4 linked regions of the Drosophila melanogaster genome follow. The protein of the gene in region 1 interacts with the protein of each later gene in a pairwise test. Each region holds a gene or a part of one and is shown in the gene's direction. Other genes may lie near its edges.

The links.
Region 2: the proteins of chinmo (region 1) and intr interact in a two-hybrid assay, tested with the Drosophila melanogaster proteins (one large-scale study listed by BioGRID).
Region 3: the proteins of chinmo (region 1) and 4E-T interact in a two-hybrid assay, tested with the Drosophila melanogaster proteins (one large-scale study listed by BioGRID).
Region 4: the proteins of chinmo (region 1) and CG4318 interact in a two-hybrid assay, tested with the Drosophila melanogaster proteins (one large-scale study listed by BioGRID).

What each region holds. Positions count from the first base shown.
Region 1 is NT_033779.5:1,649,324-1,654,311, forward strand, and holds the start of chinmo (chronologically inappropriate morphogenesis), read left to right. Parts: upstream 1-1,934; 5' UTR 1,935-2,389; intron 2,390-3,451; 5' UTR 3,452-4,512; intron 4,513-4,988. UniProt on the Drosophila melanogaster protein: Required for morphological differentiation of postmitotic neurons during postembryonic brain development. Ensures production of appropriate neuron subtypes within a lineage by preventing precocious generation of late neuronal types of that lineage.
Region 2 is NT_033777.3:28,788,823-28,792,010, forward strand, and holds intr (intrepid), read left to right. Parts: upstream 1-1,699; coding exon 1,700-2,596; 3' UTR 2,597-2,639; downstream 2,640-3,188. Other genes in the region: CG34295 (uncharacterized protein), read left to right, coding at 795-1,661.
Region 3 is NC_004353.4:952,341-960,369, reverse strand, and holds the start of 4E-T (eIF4E-Transporter), read left to right. Parts: upstream 1-1,977; 5' UTR 1,978-2,338; coding exon 2,339-2,364; intron 2,365-2,480; coding exon 2,481-3,825; intron 3,826-5,319; coding exon 5,320-5,449; intron 5,450-5,506; coding exon 5,507-5,881; intron 5,882-6,143; coding exon 6,144-6,350; intron 6,351-6,470; coding exon 6,471-6,857; intron 6,858-7,908; coding exon 7,909-8,029. UniProt on the Drosophila melanogaster protein: eIF4E1-binding protein that regulates translation and stability of mRNAs in processing bodies (P-bodies). Probably plays a role in P-bodies to coordinate the storage of translationally inactive mRNAs in the cytoplasm and prevent their degradation.
Region 4 is NC_004354.4:13,152,941-13,156,702, reverse strand, and holds CG4318 (uncharacterized protein), read left to right. Parts: upstream 1-1,778; 5' UTR 1,779-1,842; coding exon 1,843-2,553; 3' UTR 2,554-3,242; downstream 3,243-3,762. Other genes in the region: CG4332 (uncharacterized protein), read right to left, coding at 1-634, 714-1,607; CG32645 (uncharacterized protein), read right to left, coding at 3,746-3,762.

The sequences.
Region 1 (4,988 bases):
AATATTTTGATGCGCCTATTTTCTAAAGTTCAGATGAATTCTGAATGCACATGAATCGTATGATTGGTTTCTCGTTTAGAATCTATCCATTGTATATAATTATATATATTGTTACATTATTATTACTATATAATATAATAATATTATATTGCTTGTACTTCTAGTATTATTTAATTTATTACTTTTTCCTTTTCCACGTTTTTTTTTTTCAGTGCGCTAACAAAAGTTGTGTAGCTAAGCAAAAAGTTGAGTGACGAAGAGCAGGGGAAGACGTAGGTCCAAAAAGTGCGTGCAGTACTGCAAAAGCAAATGGAGAGCCAAAAAGAGAAGCACAGGGGTGGATTTAGGAGGTGGAGTGAGGTTTATTGGCGCTCGACCGAAAAATGCACTGCATTTTTCGTTATGGAAAGGGTTTGATCTAGTGGTATTTTTATAAAATAAAAATATATGAAATTAATTTAAAATGCATCGAAAAAGAATTATTAAGGAACGCGTTCCGGAATAATTCCACTTCCGACTGGGGAAGCAAAAGCAGCAGCAAAAGCAGGAGCTTTTGCCTTTGCTTATTGGATTTTCGACGCCGGCACTCCACGTGTTTCTTGAATCGCGTAAATTGTTCGTTTTCCCTTACCACACCCCGCCCCTTTACCGACAAGCTTTCATTGTCATTGTGTGTGCATAAAATGGCAGCAGAGAGAGAGAGAGAGAGAGAGAATGGGAAAACATGCGCCAAAAAAAAGCTTACCGCTCTCTCCTCTCTTTCGCTCACTGCAAAACGAATGCGCATTGTTATTGTTTTTGGCAAGGCTGCACTGAAAAAAAAATACTGTTGCTAACGAACTGTCAATGAATAGAAATAAGGTAATTGTTTGATTCAACTTTATCAACTCTTTTTCCACTAAAATTAAGTGGTTATTGTTTGATTGGCTAGGAATTTGATATTTTTGATGGGAATTGCATTCAAAAAAGGGACTCCTGACACTTGTGTGAATAGGGGAAGTTTTTGGGCTGAGAAATGAAAAGCATTTTGAGGGTTTTTGTTCCAATTTTGATGGTTTGATCGGAAAGTTCTCAAGGGATATGCAAATTATGCGAGAACTGAGTAGTTAGGTTATTATTGTTTTCTTCCTAGAAATCAAAGACCAATTGTAAGAATTTTCTAAAGAATTCCAAAGAATTCCACTAAAAAAATTTTATCCTTTACTTTTGTTTTCTGAGAGTGATCAAGATTTTAAAGAAACGTAATGCGTTCTTTTGCATTAAAGCTATGCAATTAACATTTTTCCCATATTCCCATCTTAACTCATTGTGCCGATCTTAAAGTGGTTTTCCATATAAATCGCCTCTTGCGAACCCTATTTCTATTGCATCTAATATTCAGAGACCACCTGGATGGAATCCCCCGCTGTTCGAATAGGTTAAGACCAAGTTAAGGTTTGCTTTTGCTATTTCGGGACGAGATTTCCCTAAACATTTTCCACTTGAGCGGAGCTCCTATAAATTACCTCATGTCCTTTGCCTTATGCAATTGCGCCTGCAAAAGAGAGAGTGAGAGAAAGAGTGAGAGACTCACCCCCGGATTATGAGGATATATGTAATTTTTATCCTGGGGCGGCAGTGCATACACACAGAAAAAGACATGCAAAAAGCAGTTGCAACGACCATTACTTCTACTCGCCTGAGTAAATTGTGTTCTAAAAATCATTAAAAAAAAATATGTAAACTATTTTCTGTTATACTTTAGACTATTTTCGGTTATCCTTTTTAAGAATCCTTGTTGGAGATGTCCAATCTGACAATTGCAAGTTGCTCGCCTGCATTCCAATTGGATTAAAAGCTCGCTCGCTCGCTCGCGCTCTCTTTCTCTCTCTCTCTACGGAGCACACCACTGCACGCTTGTTCGTTCGCCGCCTGTTGGAATCGAAATCGAATCGGCAGTCAAAAAGAAACTGCCGTGTTGAACGGACGTGTTGAAGTTTCGCGGTTGCTTGTTTCGGTGGTGCTCGCAGCAGCAGCAGCGTTTGTGCATTCGCATTCGCAGTCGCAAATTCGCATCGCCTCGTCGCTCGTCAGCCCTGGCAACTGCAGGCAACTCAAGTTTTACACGTAAATTAAGAAACGAGGAAGCACGGACAGAATCGAAACCGCTTGATAAAACAGTTATTCTCTACATTTCTGAACTGAAAGAACTGCAGCGGATGAAGTGCAAAAAGCGAAAAGTGCTAAAAGTTTGCGGCATTGAACACTTTTAATTATTATTTACGTTTTGTTTGTGTTTCGTCGAGCAAAGCAAATGCACAAACTAACTGTCCAGTGTGCATGTGTGTGGCAAGAGTGCGTGAGTGCGTCGTGAGTGTTGCAAAACGGCTGTTCGCCTAGTAATTCAAAGGTAATTTTGAGTGAATATTGATCATATTGAAGTGCATGTGGTATGTTTCAAAGCTCAAATAAAGTGACATAAAATCAAAAATGAACAATTATGCGTGTGTACTTGGTTTTCTCGCACACATGAAATTCTGGCCTATGTGTGTGTGTGTGTGACTTTGCAACTCGAATTTCAAACGGTACAAAACGCAGCATAAAAAATGAAGCGAATAGCAAAAGCAAACTGAGAAAAAGTGAAGTATAGACTTTTATGCATAACCAAAACGTCTGCATTTTTAATCAAGCAACAACAATAGAAAAATAAGCAAAAGCAAACTACAACAACAACAGCGAGGAGTACATGGAACAATAAACAACCCTCCCCGTTTTCCGCCTCCCCCTGAAAATAAACAAGGCGCAATACCAGTGAACTGAACCCCTTTTTTGCACTGTGTGTTTATGTGTGTGTGTGTGTGTGTGTGTGCTACGAAATAGCAATTAAGGGAGAATAGAGGAAAGTGCATGAAGTGCAGGAAAGAAGGCAAAATGCAATTAATCCCCAGGACACTTGTTCAAAAAAGCGAGAGAAAAGTGTAGAATAACGGTGAACAAGTGTTGAACAACTACAGAAATACACTACAAAATGTGAAAACTTCTTAAAAATAGTTTTGAAGTAAATGTTCTTAAAACAATTAGACAATTCACTGCTCAAATAAAAATGTTTCCCCTTCCCCAAAATTTCCAAGTCCCAATGCCATATAAAGTGTTTTTGAGTAGAATAAAAGACATTTGCCAGAAGCAAAGTGGGAATTACGGTCCCAAAATGGGAAAATGAAATATATTCTGCGATAATAAAATCATTAATCCAATTCCACTTACAAGAAATCGGGCTGATAAGAAACCAGAAATTCTGGGCACAAATGAAATGAAATTTATTCGGGTGAACTGTGACAAATTAATATAATATTAAAAAGAAAATGAATACTTAAAACATGTCACATTATCCCCGAATAGATTTGAGTTTCAATCAGCCAAATTCCACTTACACTTTTTAATAACAATTTTCTAACCGCTTTTGTATTTGCAGCCAAATGTCAATGTGAAAATGTCTCAACGAGCAAATTTTAGGAAAGTCAAGAAAAACATTCAACGACCTCAAAACCAGCGAATGCTACAAAATGCGAATCAAGAACATTTAACCATCTAAATATTCAAAATCAATTTAATTGAATCAAATAACGCGAAATTGCAACAAATCAACCTAAAAATGAACTGAAAACAAAAACATTTCGAAAAACAACGCAAAATTCTAAAATTGGCAACATAAGTTTTGGTCTTGAATTAAATACAACAAAAATAAATTAACAAAAAACGATTTTTGGCAACAAAACATCATACATAAAATATACACAAATTGTAATTATCTCAAAACGTCCACACGTGAAAATGATTTGCAACTAAGATGACAATCTAATAAAATCAATGTAAATTTTTAACGCAACAAAAGGAAAACCAAAACCGTCAGCAAAAACCAGCCCAAAATCAGTTGAAAAGCCGAGGGAAATCTTTTTAGAACAAACGCAGAAAACCGCAAAAATTTAAGCCACCAAATTGGTAAACTATTCAAAATTATTGGTTCGGACATACGCAATACTAAACACAGCAACACAACAACAACAACAACAACAGCAACAACAGCAGCCATAGCAACTACTACAGTGATCACTACAGTAAAAGCAACCGCAACAGAAGCAGCAGATAAAACGTGTGTGTTAGTTTGCATAAAAATTTCGTTTCGATAAAAGCAAAGCAAAATCATTTAACAAAATAAATAAAGAATAAAGTAAAAAAAAAAATTACCAATCGTAATACATGTATTTATAAAATATATACCTATACATATATCTATGCTTACGAATTATATCGGAGAATATTTGGTAAACAATTTTTGATAAAAACAACTCGAGTATATATCCTAACTAATTAGCAACAAAAAGAACTAGAACATTTGGCCTAAGTGAAAAAAAAAGTGAAGTGAGAAAAACTAAAAAGAAAAACTTATAAATTCAAAATTACCACTTGTGAAAGGTGTTACAACTGAGGATTCTGGATTTGGATTAATGCGTAAATTTGCAATTGAATATTAAGGTGAGTTTGTTATGTTATATTTATGAAAAATTCACAACTTGTCATTTTTTCACACATCTCTTCGCATTTCTTAATGGCCCTTTTAAGTTTCCCCACGCACGAAAAAGTGCGTAAAATGAAAAATGTTTTTTTTTTTTTTAGAAAGTGTCCACAAACATTTGCAAACAATTACCGCTCGTAAAAAAAAGGCAAGTGCTCCGCCTCTAATTACAATTATAATTTATGCAAAAAGTAAGGAAAACATTTTTTGGTCAAGAGAAAAATTGTCTACGCACTTTGCGTATGATTTATGACACTCAAAACTTGGCGTTGCATATTAATACGCGAGAAAAAAGCAAAAGTTGCTTGCTTGTCACTTCTACATGTGTATCTACGCACACACACACACAAACTCTCTCACACACTCACGCACGGAAAGGGGTGTAGATATTTTTTGGGGTTGTGCATAAATTAAAAATATATTACTTCTGCTTCTT
Region 2 (3,188 bases), on another chromosome or scaffold:
TGTTTTTATATGCAACAAAGGGACAATTTTTCATTTCCAACGATAACAATAAAAGCAACACAAGGTCCTTTTCATGGTGGAACACACTGGGATAGACACACACATGCGGTCGATCCCTGGGCATGTAAATTGGCCGCATTGTTTATGAGCTCTGCTATCCTGCGTGTCCTCCAGCCTCGTCCTTCGAGGGACTATTGATTGTCAATTCAGTTTAAGCGCCGCCCATAAATTCAGTAAATGAGCAGAGGTCCAGCCGAAGCTGCTGCCATTTTTCTTAATTTGCTGAAATGCACAAAAACAATTTTCGATTTCCACGAAAGACGCCCACATCGCGAATTCGAATTCAATGGTTGATAGTTTGCTATTATCCTTAATTTCTACAATATTTTTATTCTTTCATTTCATTTACCTAACACATTTTAAAATATCCTTTAGATAATCTCTAAAATATAGTCACTTGATTTGATTTAAAAACATTTTTAAAGCTAAACGATGAGGTAATATTACTTATCATTCTTAAACCCCCAGCCGGAGAGCCAAAAGGATATCGAGTTGCACTTCAAATGTTTGTGTGCCCTACCTTTGTTTGGTCATTAGACCTGACACGTTGTCAACACGCAACAACTGCCAACAACTGACAGCCGTCAACTGTTTATGTTTGCCATTTAGCAGGCAAAACATTTTGATTACGCATACGCCATGTGGATCGAAGCGACGTTTGTTGCTTTGACAGGCGCCTCGAATTCCATTCGCCCATAAATAAAAGTCATCTGCTGGTTATCAGTCGATTGGAGATGCATTCGCTGCTTGTTTGTGTTTCAGCGCTTTGGTTTTGTCAGCTTTGCGAAGCGGCGATTGGAGCTCAACTCTGCAAGGATTGTCGTGTGAATGTGATATATCCTAGTGGCGGAAGAGGCAACCATCAGTTGTCAGAAAACCGTCAAATAGTTAGAATCATCAACAAATACAAGCCAATCAGAAGGCAGGAACTGGAATATCAAAATGAGATCGGGATGAGCCACTTGCAATTCAGCTTTATTGCGAAGATAAAGGTGGGAAATGCGGTACGATGCAGTGCGGCCTTGGTGGCTCCCAGTTTGGCCATCACCTCCAGTAAGTGCTTTTCAAACGACTCTTTCAAACCGCTGCAAATTATCTTCACCGGCGGAAGAACTATCGCTGTGGATAATGTAGTCAAAGCGGATTTCTGTCCTGAGCTTAGCATTCTTCACTTGAAGAGGCCGTCTGAAATCAATCCAATTGCCCTATGCCAATATGACGTACCATTGGGCACAAGAGTATCAATGATGATGGCCACTTCGGATCTCAGATATTACGGCCGTCGAAGAACTGAAATAATCTCAAATCGTGCCTGCAAGACAACATTCCTGGAAGAGGATTCAGTTTTTATAACTCCCAGTATGCTGTGTGCAAAGAACTCAATGAATCCGGAAATGTGTGCAACTTCTCCAGGTGATGTCCTACTTATAGACCATCAATTATGTGGCTTAAACGTTTATGGATTTCGCTGTTTTCAAAATGCACTCAATGGTGATCTCTACATAAGTCTAGGCAAACTGCAGCCCATGATCGGCGATTTGATCCGGAAACTTAATGGTTTAAGTGAAGAATTTAAATCAGTTACGGGGAAAGAAACCTAATTGTTGTGATTTGAGACTGAATCGGTTGAAATGTCATAATGCAGCTTAGTCAGCTAGTCATAATATTAGCAGTCTCCCGAGGATCAGTTTACGGATCTTCTGAGACCGCTCCGCAGTTTAATGTGGGTGAAATACCCAGCAATGGACAGCCCTATCAGATAGTTCGTGTTATTGAGTATATAGTGCCCTATCCCTACCAGAGATCACCGAAAATTTCCGCTAGATTCTCAAGCGGAGGCAACAAAGAACCCAACAGCCTAGAGATAATTCCCGCTGAAATCGAGACTCTCCTTACCGATGGACAAGCCACAACAGAGGCACCAAAGGCAGTGAAGCATTTCGTTATGCGAATCCTTTATGAAAACAAAGTCATTTGCAGTGGTGCTCTAATCTCCACTCGTCTGGTTTTAACCTCCGCCCTCTGTTTTCCCAGGACTCTGCGTCAACCTCCACCTCGTTCGTACAAACTGCAGGCTAGTCGGAGTCGGATATATTCGGTGGCCAATCTAATTACCGGCGCTATTGAGGACATGGCCCTATTACTGCTCCACGCTCCACTGGAGGATCCCTTCGTCCATCCGATTGATCTCTGCGAGTCACCTCTCCGAAGGAATGACAATGTAACCATGTACATGTCACAGCAACATCTGCGTTTCCTGCGCACCAAACTCATTCCCAATAGCAATTGCAAAAGGAGCTATGCCCAGGATGAGAACGCCTTCATCACGCAGACCATGTTGTGCGCCCTTAATTCAAACCGATTGGTGGACTGCCAGACGGCAAAGGGGGATGTCCTCCTCCACCAGGATCGGTTGTGCGGAGTGGACATTTACGGGCAACACTGCTCCGATGGTGGTGTCAATGGAGAGCTGTATGCGGACGTCTTTAAGGCCCGGACTGAACTGATGCACTTGATTGAGCGTTATTCGAATTAAATGATTTAACAGGGAAATTGCCGAATAAAAAATACATTAACTTAGTTCCTTTCCAATGGTTGTTGAATAAAAATTTTTCAATAACATCTGAAAGTTAGAGAGTGAACATAGATTTACTGTCGCGATTCAATGTTCGTGCGCTGCCCAAATCGAATCAATCTCACTAAACAAACACTGAAAACAAAAGGGCAAAAAAAATCGCAAATAAAATCAGGGGATGCCGCCTTCTGTTGGTCGCGGGCAAAATTGAAAGTCGCCACCAACAAAATCAGAGAAACACAAAGAGCACAAGCGATGTTTTTTTAACATTTTATTTTCTTTCAATTTGCGGCTTAAAAAGTTAACTGTTTCCATCAAAATGCCCTGAACTGCAATGACTATGATGTATGTAAATTTGAGCGAAAAAACAAATGGCAAAAAACGAAAATTGCGAAAAAAAAAACACACAATAAGAGACACAAGCGCCACCCAAACCCTCTAAAATCATCATGACAGGAAAAAGGTGTTACACTTGGCTTGAAATTTACACCGTCGATGGGCGGGGCAGCAAGGGGGCCTCTGCGGCAAAAAGAGGAAGAGATGGAGTCCTGCG
Region 3 (8,029 bases), on another chromosome or scaffold:
TGCACACACACAGTTGTCTGCTATCACTGTATGCGTAGAAAAGAGCTGTGCGCTGTAGCGCTCTCCGCTCTCTCGCTCTCGAACAAAAATTCGAGGGGGCCTGGAGCCACGGCGAAAAAACCGTGTGCCAAAAAATCGTAAGACGTTACGCATCCTGTTATTCTAATGTCTTTGGTATGATAATCTTTAACAATTTATTTCAAATTATTACTCCCTTGGACATGGTATGTGACGACAAATTCTCACCATACGAAAAATATGAAAAACTTTGATTTTTAATAACTCGACATATGGCTTTATTTGTACCACATTTCTTCGTACTGTGCCATACCATCCCTATTTTGCCATCCTTACGATACCGCCGTCATTATCTTCATTAATGGGTGGGTAGAGACCGTTAGGTCAATGCAGGACGGCATATAGAAATTGGGTGACGCACTCTTAGACCATAACCAAAACTATCGTATATTCTCAAAAAAAGGGGACTATGACTATAAAAATAGCTATGTATTTAACTCTAAACCTCTATAGATTTTGATAGACCATGACATTGTGTGGAACATGATGTCATTTTCTAGACATTGTGCACGAAGATCATTCCCGAAGTCGACCGAACACTTATTCCGTGCATGTTTCATCAGACCGCCGGCAGCATATTTTAGCGTTAGGCGTGCACTTCCTTGTATAACTGTGTACACCTACAAAAAATTTCAAAATCAATCTATCGGGCACGCTCCGTTAATCGAAGTACTTTACGATTTCGATTTTAAAGATTGGTGCTCCGGTTTTCAAATTCGTAAGGATTTTCGATGTGTATAACGGGCACTTTTGTCTGGCCGAAATGAAAAGTATATGCCCATTTTTATATCACGTTAGATCTTAACCAAGGGAAAAAATAGTTCAGTAGTCTATTGATTTATATTCATTAGTTATTTTATATACAATTTATTTCTGACCCCATCAAAAATTTGATATACAAAATTTTGCTGTCGGCAACAAAAATTTTCGATTTGGCATTTTAAAACGCAAGATCGGTGCTCCGGTTTTCAAATTCGTAAGGATTTTTCGATTTGTAAAACGGACACTTTTGTCTGGCCGAAATGAAAAGTATATGCCCATTTTTATATCACGTAAGATATTATTTACCAAGGGAAAAAATAGTTTACTCAGTGGTCTATTGATTTATATTAATTATTTATATTCATTATTTATTTTATATACAATTTATTTCTGACCCCATTAAAAATTTGACATACAAAATTTTGCCGTCGGCAAAAAAAATTTTCGATTTGGCATGGGGTCATGCGTGCGTCGACTAAACTTACTTATAAAATATAAAAGAATTAATTATCTTAATTTAAAAGATGGCCTATAGTGTTCGTAAGTAATGCTATTTAATTTAATTAATTAAACGGTCAAAATGCAGTAAAAAATTAAATGCGAACATCGGAATTAAAATTGTGAAAAAGGTGTCCGCTGGAAAACAGCTTAAACAGCTGTTTACTGTACAGAAAACACTCCGACAGCAAAAAATTTTACGAAATCAAATCGAATTCGGAAACAAATTACGATTATTCGGTAATGCATGCCTGATTATAATTTCTTGATTTGTTTTATATTAAATTTAAAATTTAATAGTTTAATAATATAAAAATATTCTTATTTATATTATATATTATGAGTATTTCAAATGTAAATAATCATATAAACTATTTTATAAAACATCGACGTTACATAAATAAAATTTATTTTTTGTTTTTCAAGTGTAAATAATAATATTAATCATTTTAGAAAACATTCGGCACCTTTACTCGACGCTCATACGAACGGACAGATATGCTTAGTCTGGTATCGCTTTAGCACCAGTAGGAAAAACCTAGAATTTCTTTTCCCACAAATGTCACAACTTCAAAATTCCATTGTTTCACGGTGTTTCTCTTTTAATGTTTCAATATTAATATATATAATGCCTTAAGGTTCAATAAGAACAAAATATTTTCAATGTCTATATCCCACTCCAATTTAGCGTGATATTCACAAAGCTAATCGCAACATTGTGAGCATTAAAAATTGTTATATATGTATGTAAGCGTCTTGGGATTATATTCTCATGAAACTCAACAGTCATATATATGGCCTTAAAATACGTATATATATATATATATATTAATTTTTCAAAGTGTGTGTTTGCATAAGTGGTGTGTACTATTTGTATATTCATTGTACAATTTCTCCCGTTCATATAGGAGAGTGTTCTGTTTTTAATAATTTTGGATATCTTAACTTTTTCGACTTTCTGTAATAAGTTAGATTACACAGTGAACTATAGTCCTTAGCAATGGATACATCAAAGATTAGTGCCAGGTATGTGGATTAAATATTGGTAAATTTTAGTCAACTTTTTCGATATTATTCTCGCGTACTGTTTTTTTAAACTTGTATATGTACTAACATTGTTTTAACAATCTGTTTCACATTAGGTACTCGAAAGTAGACCTGTTAGCTCTAAGATATGAAGGTAAAAGTCGACAGCGCCCGCAATGTTCAACACGACTTGAATTGCAGACGCTAGGTTTTTGGAAAATTAATCTGAACACAGCTGCGTTAACCGTGTCCAGCGCCTATTCTAATCAAAACAAGAATCGACTTTCTCCAGAAGCAGATAACTCGAGCTTAATTTGTTCCAATAGTAGCTCAATAAGTTCACGTCGCGCTATGAGAAATCGAGAACGGGCAAACAACTATTACCAGCGCTTCGTACCTACCGATTCTCTTCTAATAAGTGGGGAGGATAAAGATAAGGATGCGCTTTCTCATGGACAGCCCTATAAGTTGAATATCATCGATCACCGTAGCATATCATCTTCACATTTAATGCCGGCATTTGCAAAGAGGCGTTTTGTCATATCGAAAGGCAGCAACAGCGAGGAAAGCAACGAGGGGATAAACACTTGTGCAAGCAAGGGCAAGGCAGCCAGTTCGCCTAGCCGTAAGGGTAGCGAGTTGGATACTGCTGAGACATGTTTGAATTTTGTTCAGCCGGATCACGACCAATGCATGTCATCTTCACCTACATTTTCAACATCCCGCCAAGAAAGGCGGATTGGTAGCGGTCGGCTGTTGCCAAGAAGTGATAATTGGGATTACAAAAACGAAAAGACCGTAGAAGCCAGCATTGAGAATGAAAAGGAAACATCTCCAAATGGATCTGGAAGTACAAGCAGTCTTAATCAGCACAATCAAAGCCAACATCGTTCTCGAACATTCAGTGGAAGGTTAGTTGAACGTGTTCCCGAAGTCACAGATCGTCGTTTTCAATATGACTCCAAAAAGTCTTTTGATCGTCAGGGAATTAATAATCGACGCATTTCTGGTAAGGAGCCTTTCAGTACTCAAAGCCGAAGCAAGCGTGGCAATTCCTATCTCATTCACGAAGAACCTGAATGGTTCAGTGCAGGACCTAAATCACAGCTAGAAACTATTGATCTACACGGGTTTGAAGACCTGGAAAAAAACGAAGAGCGATCCGTAACTGAAGATAAAAATAATCAAATTCAACAACTTGATAAAAATTTAGACGCGCAAGCAAGCAAAGATGAAGCTTCGATGAGAAACAGCAATGATAGTTTAAATTTCCGCGAAGTCATTCCAAGTGATGAAAAGAAGCACACTGACGAAAATGTAGTGACTTCTATTCAAAACTCAACAGATCTCGGCCATCCCAATAAAAACAAACCAATTCAGATGCAGCCCAGTCAGAATCCTGAAAGTGAATTTAATTTTGATGCCTTTCTTAATATGCATCCCTTGGATAATTCCGTTTTGGTAAATATATTGCAAAAACTAGATTTTAAGGAATGAGTACCTAATCCATTCAGACATTACATGGACAACTTCCGGGTTACCTTTTATTGACGGATCAATAATAGTATTCAAATAAGCTGTAAATAATGATATTAACTCCCGTTACTCAAGTAAAGGGTAAAGAGTTAAAGGGTATACTAGATTCGTTGAAAAGTATGTAAACTATATATTCTTGATCAGGATCAATAGCCGAGTCGAACTGGCCATGTCCGTCTGTCCGTATGAACGTCGAGATCTCAGGAACTAAAAAAACTAGTATGTTGCAATTTAGCATACAGATTATAGATACGAAGACGCAGCACAAGCAAAGACACTAGAATAACAAGATGCGTAACGGCCATACATTGGTTTTGCACTATGCAGCCAATTTTTTAGTGACGGCCAAAATTGCTCTCTTTCCGCTCGCTCCCGCTGAGAGCATAAGAAATCTAAAAATAGAATTTGCTTGCTTGTGTGAGTAAAAACAAGAGACGAGAACGCATATATGTGTGCGTGTTGTGCTAGAAGACGATTTTCGGACCGAAATCAATTCTGATCAAAGAAACGAATTTACATTGTACATATTAGGGTAGTTTTTGTCAATTTCGTAGCAATATGATAAAATAAAATAATTTTTAACTGACTATTATCATTTTAAAGCTTTTTAAATTTGTTTGTTAAAATCGCCGCTCGAATTAGCTACCGTTTACACATTTATATTTATGTTTAATTCTAATTTGTCTCTCATCTGACAATTTTTTAAAAGCGAAATATTTTTTTTTTTAAACACTTTTAATGTTAATGTTACATCATATTAAGTCAAATGACATAATAAATATAGTAAATAATTAAATATGATAACTGTTTATTGCAAAAGTCATATCAAAGACACTAGAATTATTCTAGTGTCTTTGCTTTGTTCATATCTTGAAGCACGAAGTACGGACACAAGCACTCAACAATCATTGCCTTATTAATTTTTCACACGCCGCAAGATGAATACTCTAATGACAAATATTCTTATATAAAGTCATTTTTGAAATTTATTTTTGTGATAATATGTACATAGATTTGGCTATTTCTAATCTATTTTCATATAATAATAACGTTAAGGCAATGCAAAACAAGAATTTTTCGCATGGTGCCAATTGATCAAAAATAATATAGATTTAAAGTCAAAGAACTTCTAAGGTGAAGGGCATATTTTGTGAAATTTACAATGCATGAGCATGCCTGTGTACACATACAGTTGTCTGCTATCACTTTATGCGTTAAAAACAAACAAACAAACCGCCCAGAACTGCCACGCCAACATTTTTGAAAAATGTTCTGATATTTTTTCATATTTTTATTAGTCTAGTAAATTTCTATGGATTTGCAAAAAAAAAAGTTTGCCCCGGCAACTCTAATACCCTAGAATTTATATTTTAAAGGTAAGCTTATTAATTTTAAGATATATTTATTGTACATTTGCAGAGTAATGATGAAACTGGAAAAAGTGACTCAAAAGGAACATCCCGTTTTAGCCGATGGTTTCGACAAAAAGAAGCTGCAAATAATAATGAGTTTCCAGGGTTTCGGGAATCGCATGCTCAAGAAAAACGTGGTATGTCAAGATTTGTAATAATATATCAAAGGCCTTATAGTTCACTTTGTTCTTAAGGTATTCCAAGTGTTAAGGATCTGGAAGCTCAAATGATAAAAGTGGATATGAGGACTGATTTAATAAATCCAATAGCAGGGTCATTATGTCAGACAGTGCAAATGGAAAAACCTATTGCTAGAGACACTGAGGCATTCAAAAAACTTTTGCAACAGTTGGGTTCTCAAGCCAGGCAGCATCATCCATGCAACGACGATTGTCGTACAATAAACCTCTCAAATATAGCAAATCATGTACACCTTGAGTCAAAATTACATCAAAAAATAAATGATGGTCATTTGCAGCAACCAGAGTTAAGTGTTAACGTGCCAACCATGCCAACTAGTAGTCATGTATTTTTGCAAAAGCGTTTGGAAATCCAACATTTAATTCAAAGTAAGATATGTTTCAAAATTCCATGTCTATAAACTTTTTCTTGAATACTTAAGTCCTTTTTCTTGTCCTTATGGTAAAATAATATAAGGTTTCTGGCTGATAAAACACATGAATGTTACAGTTTACCATATACATGTTTACCATCAGAACGGGAACTTATTTAAAGCGTATCTGGTAAAAACCACGTGTTCTTATTTTAATGCTTTTATACCCTGCGCTGTATTTAAATATTATGAAAAACAAAATGTTTAATAATAAATAGGACTTCATTGTGGAGACGTTTCACATGATTTTTTGGAAAAAGAATTGGATAATCCCAGCACCCCAGCAGCCACAAAGGATGTCATTGCCACAGTGTTGAATGAATATTCTCATTCTAAAAGAAATCCGGTGGTCACAGGCGATCCCAATATTTTTACCCAACAATCGTTTCTTCAGCCTCAATCAGTCCATCAGCACTACTCTCAAGGTAAGTAATTCTTGGTTATATGGTAACTCTTTAAAATTCAATTAATATAATATTTGATTCAGTTAAAGTATCTTATTTATTACTAAAATTATTTGTAAAAATTCCTTAATTTTTTTCTAGAATTGCATTCGCAAAATACTGCTAACCATACGATTAATCAGCTAATTTCCCACGGTAACTCTCCAACTCCGTTGGCATTTACTCCTACTTCAGTTTTAAGAAAAATGACAGCCGATAAGGATACGCAATCACCAAGCACTTATTGTCAGAACCCACAATATCATGTACACCAACAAAATGCCAAGCAAGTCGGTACTCGTGAGAACGTACTTGAGCCACAGCTGACCGCAACAATGGCTGTACAGCCCCGAATGATATTAGGCGGTGGAAACTTTGCCATTGGCCAAAACAATCAACATTTGTCTCCCAACATGTCACAAAGTCGTAATCAACAAGTGTTAAAGTGGACTTCTGGCAATATGCAAATGGTCCACGGAAAAACATTTGGTAAGTTACACAAAAAAGTGTTAGCTATTATTAAAGTACATTTATTAGTTAAAGCTTTGTTTTTTTTTTTTTGCTATAAGTTTTTTTTACTCGTTCTCATAAACTTAATGTAAATGTATATGAATTTCAAGAGAAATTATAAAAATCGTTGAGTTACCATAAAAAGCGTGCAAATACGCAAATACAAAATTCAGTTCTTAAAAGAGGATAGTATAGGATAGGAGAAAGTGGATGCTTTTTATACCCGTTACCCGTAGCGTAAAAGCAAAGACATTAGAATAACAAGATACGTAACGGCCATATATTGGTTTTGCCAAAGACATTAGAATGACGAGTAACGCCATACGTTTTTTAGGATTTTTGTTGACTTTTTCATCAATTTATTAGTCTCTTAATCAAGTAAATTTTCAAAAGTTTTGGTGGCTTTGTGGGCGTGGCAGTTTTGGCCTGTTTGTGGGCCTTAGAGTGTCCGCAGCATCATGACTCTCTCAAGCTTCTCAACTCTCTAGCTTCTATAGCTCCTGAGATCTCGATGGCCAGATCGACTCGGCTATTGATCCTGATCAAGAATATATATACTTTATATGGTCGGAAACGCTTCTTTCTGCCTGTTACATTCTTTAAAACGAATATAGTATATCTCTACGAGAACCGGGTGTAAATATACAACCTGTAGAATAGCTAAATTGGCTTTTTGAGACACGACGTGCGTGCACGTATATACTTACATAATATAGAGAGTATTTTTTAATAGACCAAAAAATAAATATTCATATACACAGTTTGCTTAATTTATATTCTGTGCAAGAAGTGTACCCTACAATTTTGATTATTCTTGACTTATTGGGGTAATGAAAATTACGATTATTTAGTGGAATTTTTTGAAGTGGACTTTGTTTTAATGTAGTTATCTGTGACCCAAAGCAATATTTTATTCTCTAGGAATAAATATCTTTGTTAAACAACGCGATATAATAAACTTGAGATCTTCGACTTCTGTATTAATGGGTTCAAAGACTTACACATTATTATTTTGACTTACATATTTTAGGCCGACCTATTCTGAAAGGAGGTCTTAATTCAATGCCGCATTCCAATTCTGCACTTCCTTTTACTGCCCATAAAATTGAAATGCAACCCATTCATCAACCACATCTACAGCAGCAGCAACA
Region 4 (3,762 bases), on another chromosome or scaffold:
AGGCCACCCGATGGGCCGTGGGCATGGTGATGATGAAGGCGAAGAAGTCGTCGATGAAGGTATTAAATGCTTTATACATAAATGCGCGCCACGGCAATGCGGCCACAGACTTCAGCTTGTAGTTTACAAACAGTTGCGGCAACATGAACAGGAAACCGAAGGCGTAAACTCCGTTCACCAGTGAGTTAAGTGTCCATGAGTACCAGGAGCGGTGTGGTTGGTAGAGGAGCGAATAGACCGCTCCGCATATACAAAGCGGATACAGCAGATAGCTCAGATATCGCATGCCCTGTCTGTCAAACTGATCAGTCTTCTGCTCCTCCGCCAGCTGACCTGACTTCACGCCAGCTTGGTCACCATTCCGCCGGTCAACTTGCTCCAGCTTGCGACGAACCAGGCCACTGAAGCTAAGCTCCAGACGGAAGATTTTCTTGCACTTCCACAGCTCAATGAGCGTGCCCAGGCCAACTGGCACAAGTACCAGATACGACGTATTCTCATCTAGCAGATAAAAAAAGATCACGATCTGCGAAAACGCTCGCCACATTGTGGTGCGGCTTGATAGCCCCTCGTACGACTGCTTTTTGCGCCAAAAGGCCACGTCGTTCTTAAAGCTTAAAAAGTCGAAGAGCATCTGCGGGAAAAGGGAAACATAAATTAGTTATAGGACTGGAGCATATGACGTATGTTGCAATTTTTCAATCTCTACTCACATGGATGCTGGACACAAAGATGGTGCCACACAAAAGGTATACATTGGTGTCCGAAAAGATGCCTTTCACCTCGTCAATATCCTTGGTAGCAAATCCAATGGTGAGCAGCGCCTGGGTGGCGTGTTCCATGAGCAGCATTAGACGGAGCTTGCCCACGCCCACGGGCTTGTAGTGGAAGCTGAATGTGAATTCGGTGGTATTGCGGGTGACGGGCACTAGATCCTTTAGCCGCGTATTAAATGTATCAGTCTGCAGGATGGGCAAGATCTGTTGATTGCGATTGACACGTATCAAGGGGGCCATTTCAGGTGGGACATCCGCTTGCGAAACGGAATAGAGATCGTTGAGCAGGGTGACGTAAACATTCGATCGGATGTGGGTGCTGGGACGTCCAGTGGTGGAGGCTTTCTTCTTTTCTTTCTCCTGGACAGCGGCTGCTGCACCTTTCTCGGAATCTCCAAGCAGTTTAAAGGCCTCCGCCCGCGGCACTATGTAATCCGTGAGACTCATCGTATGGACAACGGTGGGCCCATCTCTGCGCAGGCTACGCCATTCCAGTGGCTCACCCTCCAAGGCCAAGACCACATGAAGATACAGGGAGCCATTCCGGCGCGTCCTCAGCGGCACATCCACTTCGAAGTCGTGCTCAAAGTTTTGATCATAGTCGAACCTCTTGGCCTTGTACAGATCCCGCACCTCGGTGGCAATGGGACTTCTGCTGAGGGAGGAAAACAATGCCAGTTGCAGGCGTGGCCTGTCCGCCAGGAATGATGTGTAGCACGGCACACCGCTGCATTGCAGCGTAGTGAAGAGCTGCGACATCTGGTAGATGGAGTGGCCGATGTACGCCAGAAATGCAACGCCTAGAAGCGTGGAGATCGAGGGCAGGGCCATGTCCTCCTCTTACGGTTTTCTCGTTGGTGCGTTGGCCGGCGTTTTATTGGTATTGGCACTAGAGCCGGCAAAACATTAAAAGAAGCTATCGATAGTTCCGGCAGTATCGATGATCTAAAGCTTCAAAAACTATCGGTTTTTATTGTCCCTAACGGTCGTTCCTAGCACGTGTTTCCAAACTATCATTCCCATCCCAACGTGATACATGTCAAAAAATTAAATTTAACTAAAAGCAATGGATTCCAGGATGTGCCGTGTCTGTTTGAGGGAGATGGAGAACATGCTATGCATCTTCGAAACGATGCCGCTACCCGGCGTTTCCCTAGCGACCATGATTTCCGATTGGTGCGGCTTCCCGGTTCTACCGAAGGATCCTTTTCCCAAGACCATTTGCCAGTCTTGTGCGCTGGATGCGCAGACTGCTTACGGGATGGACAGCGTGCAGGTGATTGAGCAGGATGAGATGGTGGTCAGTGAGATGAATTATGAGGAAGAAGGATCGAATGACTCCGATGTTGAACTGATTGAGCCAGTCGATGGCAGCCAGGAGATGGAGACAATTGACTTGACAATCGATTCACCGGGGGACAACGTGGAGAATATGTGCCCCAACTCAAACTCCAACGGGAATGGCAATGTGAGCCAGAGCAGCGCCCAGAAGGATACCAAGAAGAAAATGCTGAAGAAGACACATAAATGTAACATTTGCGGGAAGTATTTCATGTTACCTGCGCACCTTAAGTGTCACATGTGGGTCCATGCGCGTGAAAAACCTTACAAATGCTTACAATGCTCCCAGTCCTACGCACAAATCCGCGGTCTTAGGCGCCATGAGCGCGTACATAGTTCGAGACCTGAATTACGATCCTACAAGTGTTCCCGATGCCCCAAGATCTTCAACAGAAACTCTGCCCTTAAGAACCACGAGACCATGCACCATAATTAATGCGATCCTACAAGTGTCCCCGATGCCCCAAGATCTTCAACAGAAACTCTGCCCTTAAGAACCACAAGACCATGCACCATAATTAATGCGATCCTACAAGTGTCCCCGATGCCCCAAGATCTTCAACAGAAACTCTGCCCTTAAGAACCACAAGACCATGCACCATAATTAATGCGATCCTACAAGTGTCCCCGATGCCCCAAGATCTTCAACAGAAACTCAGCCCTTAAGAACCACGAGACCATGCACCATAATTAATGCGATCCTACAAGTGTCCCCGATGCCCCAAGATCTTCAACAGAAACTCTGCCCTTAAGAACCACAAGACCATGCACCATAATTAATGCGATCCTACAAGTGTCCCCGATGCCCCAAGATCTTCAACAGAAACTCTGCCCTTAAGAACCACAAGACCATGCACCATAATTAATGCGATCCTACAAGTGTCCCCGATGCCCCAAGATCTTCAACAGAAACTCTGCCCTTAAGAACCACAAGACCATGCACACCATAATTAATGCCAAACCAAGAAGAACGACCATGATGTTAAAAGACTAATGCAACGTGTTACCAAAGTATAGGGAACTTCGAAAAGCGAACACCTCCAAAGAACCTCACAACGATTATACTCATTTTTTGTCAATCCGATATATGATCGTTGGAATAAATACTAAACGCTGGGACACTGTATTTGGTAGCAGTTTTTATTTAAAGGTTTATGTATAACAATATACAGCATATAGTATATACAACATGATTTCATAAAATTAGGTACTAGAGTTTTATATAATTATAACTATGAAGTACTATGTATAACTCTCTCTCTTCGTCACGCGCGAAATTTCCAAACCTTTGGAATAAATTAAAGGACTAAAATGTACACATCATGAAACAAAAATATGATAAAAATAGGTTGAATTGATTTGCACGCTTCAAGTTGCACGTCATGTTTTCCTCGATTTTGATTTGTTTGTTTGTTTTTTTTTTTTAACTTTTATAACTGGAACACATTGTGAGTGAAAAATGTGGTGCAGAGTAATAAGTACATGTATAGATAACGATCCGAAAGAGTCGAGGGTGCAGATGAGTCGATGCTATAAATATGTGGGCATTGTTTGATAGACAAGAAATAGATAACATGACAAAATGGAGGGTATAAATAATCGGAAATGGTCGGATCTCGGCTCAGGACTTAGGCGAGGCGTTTCT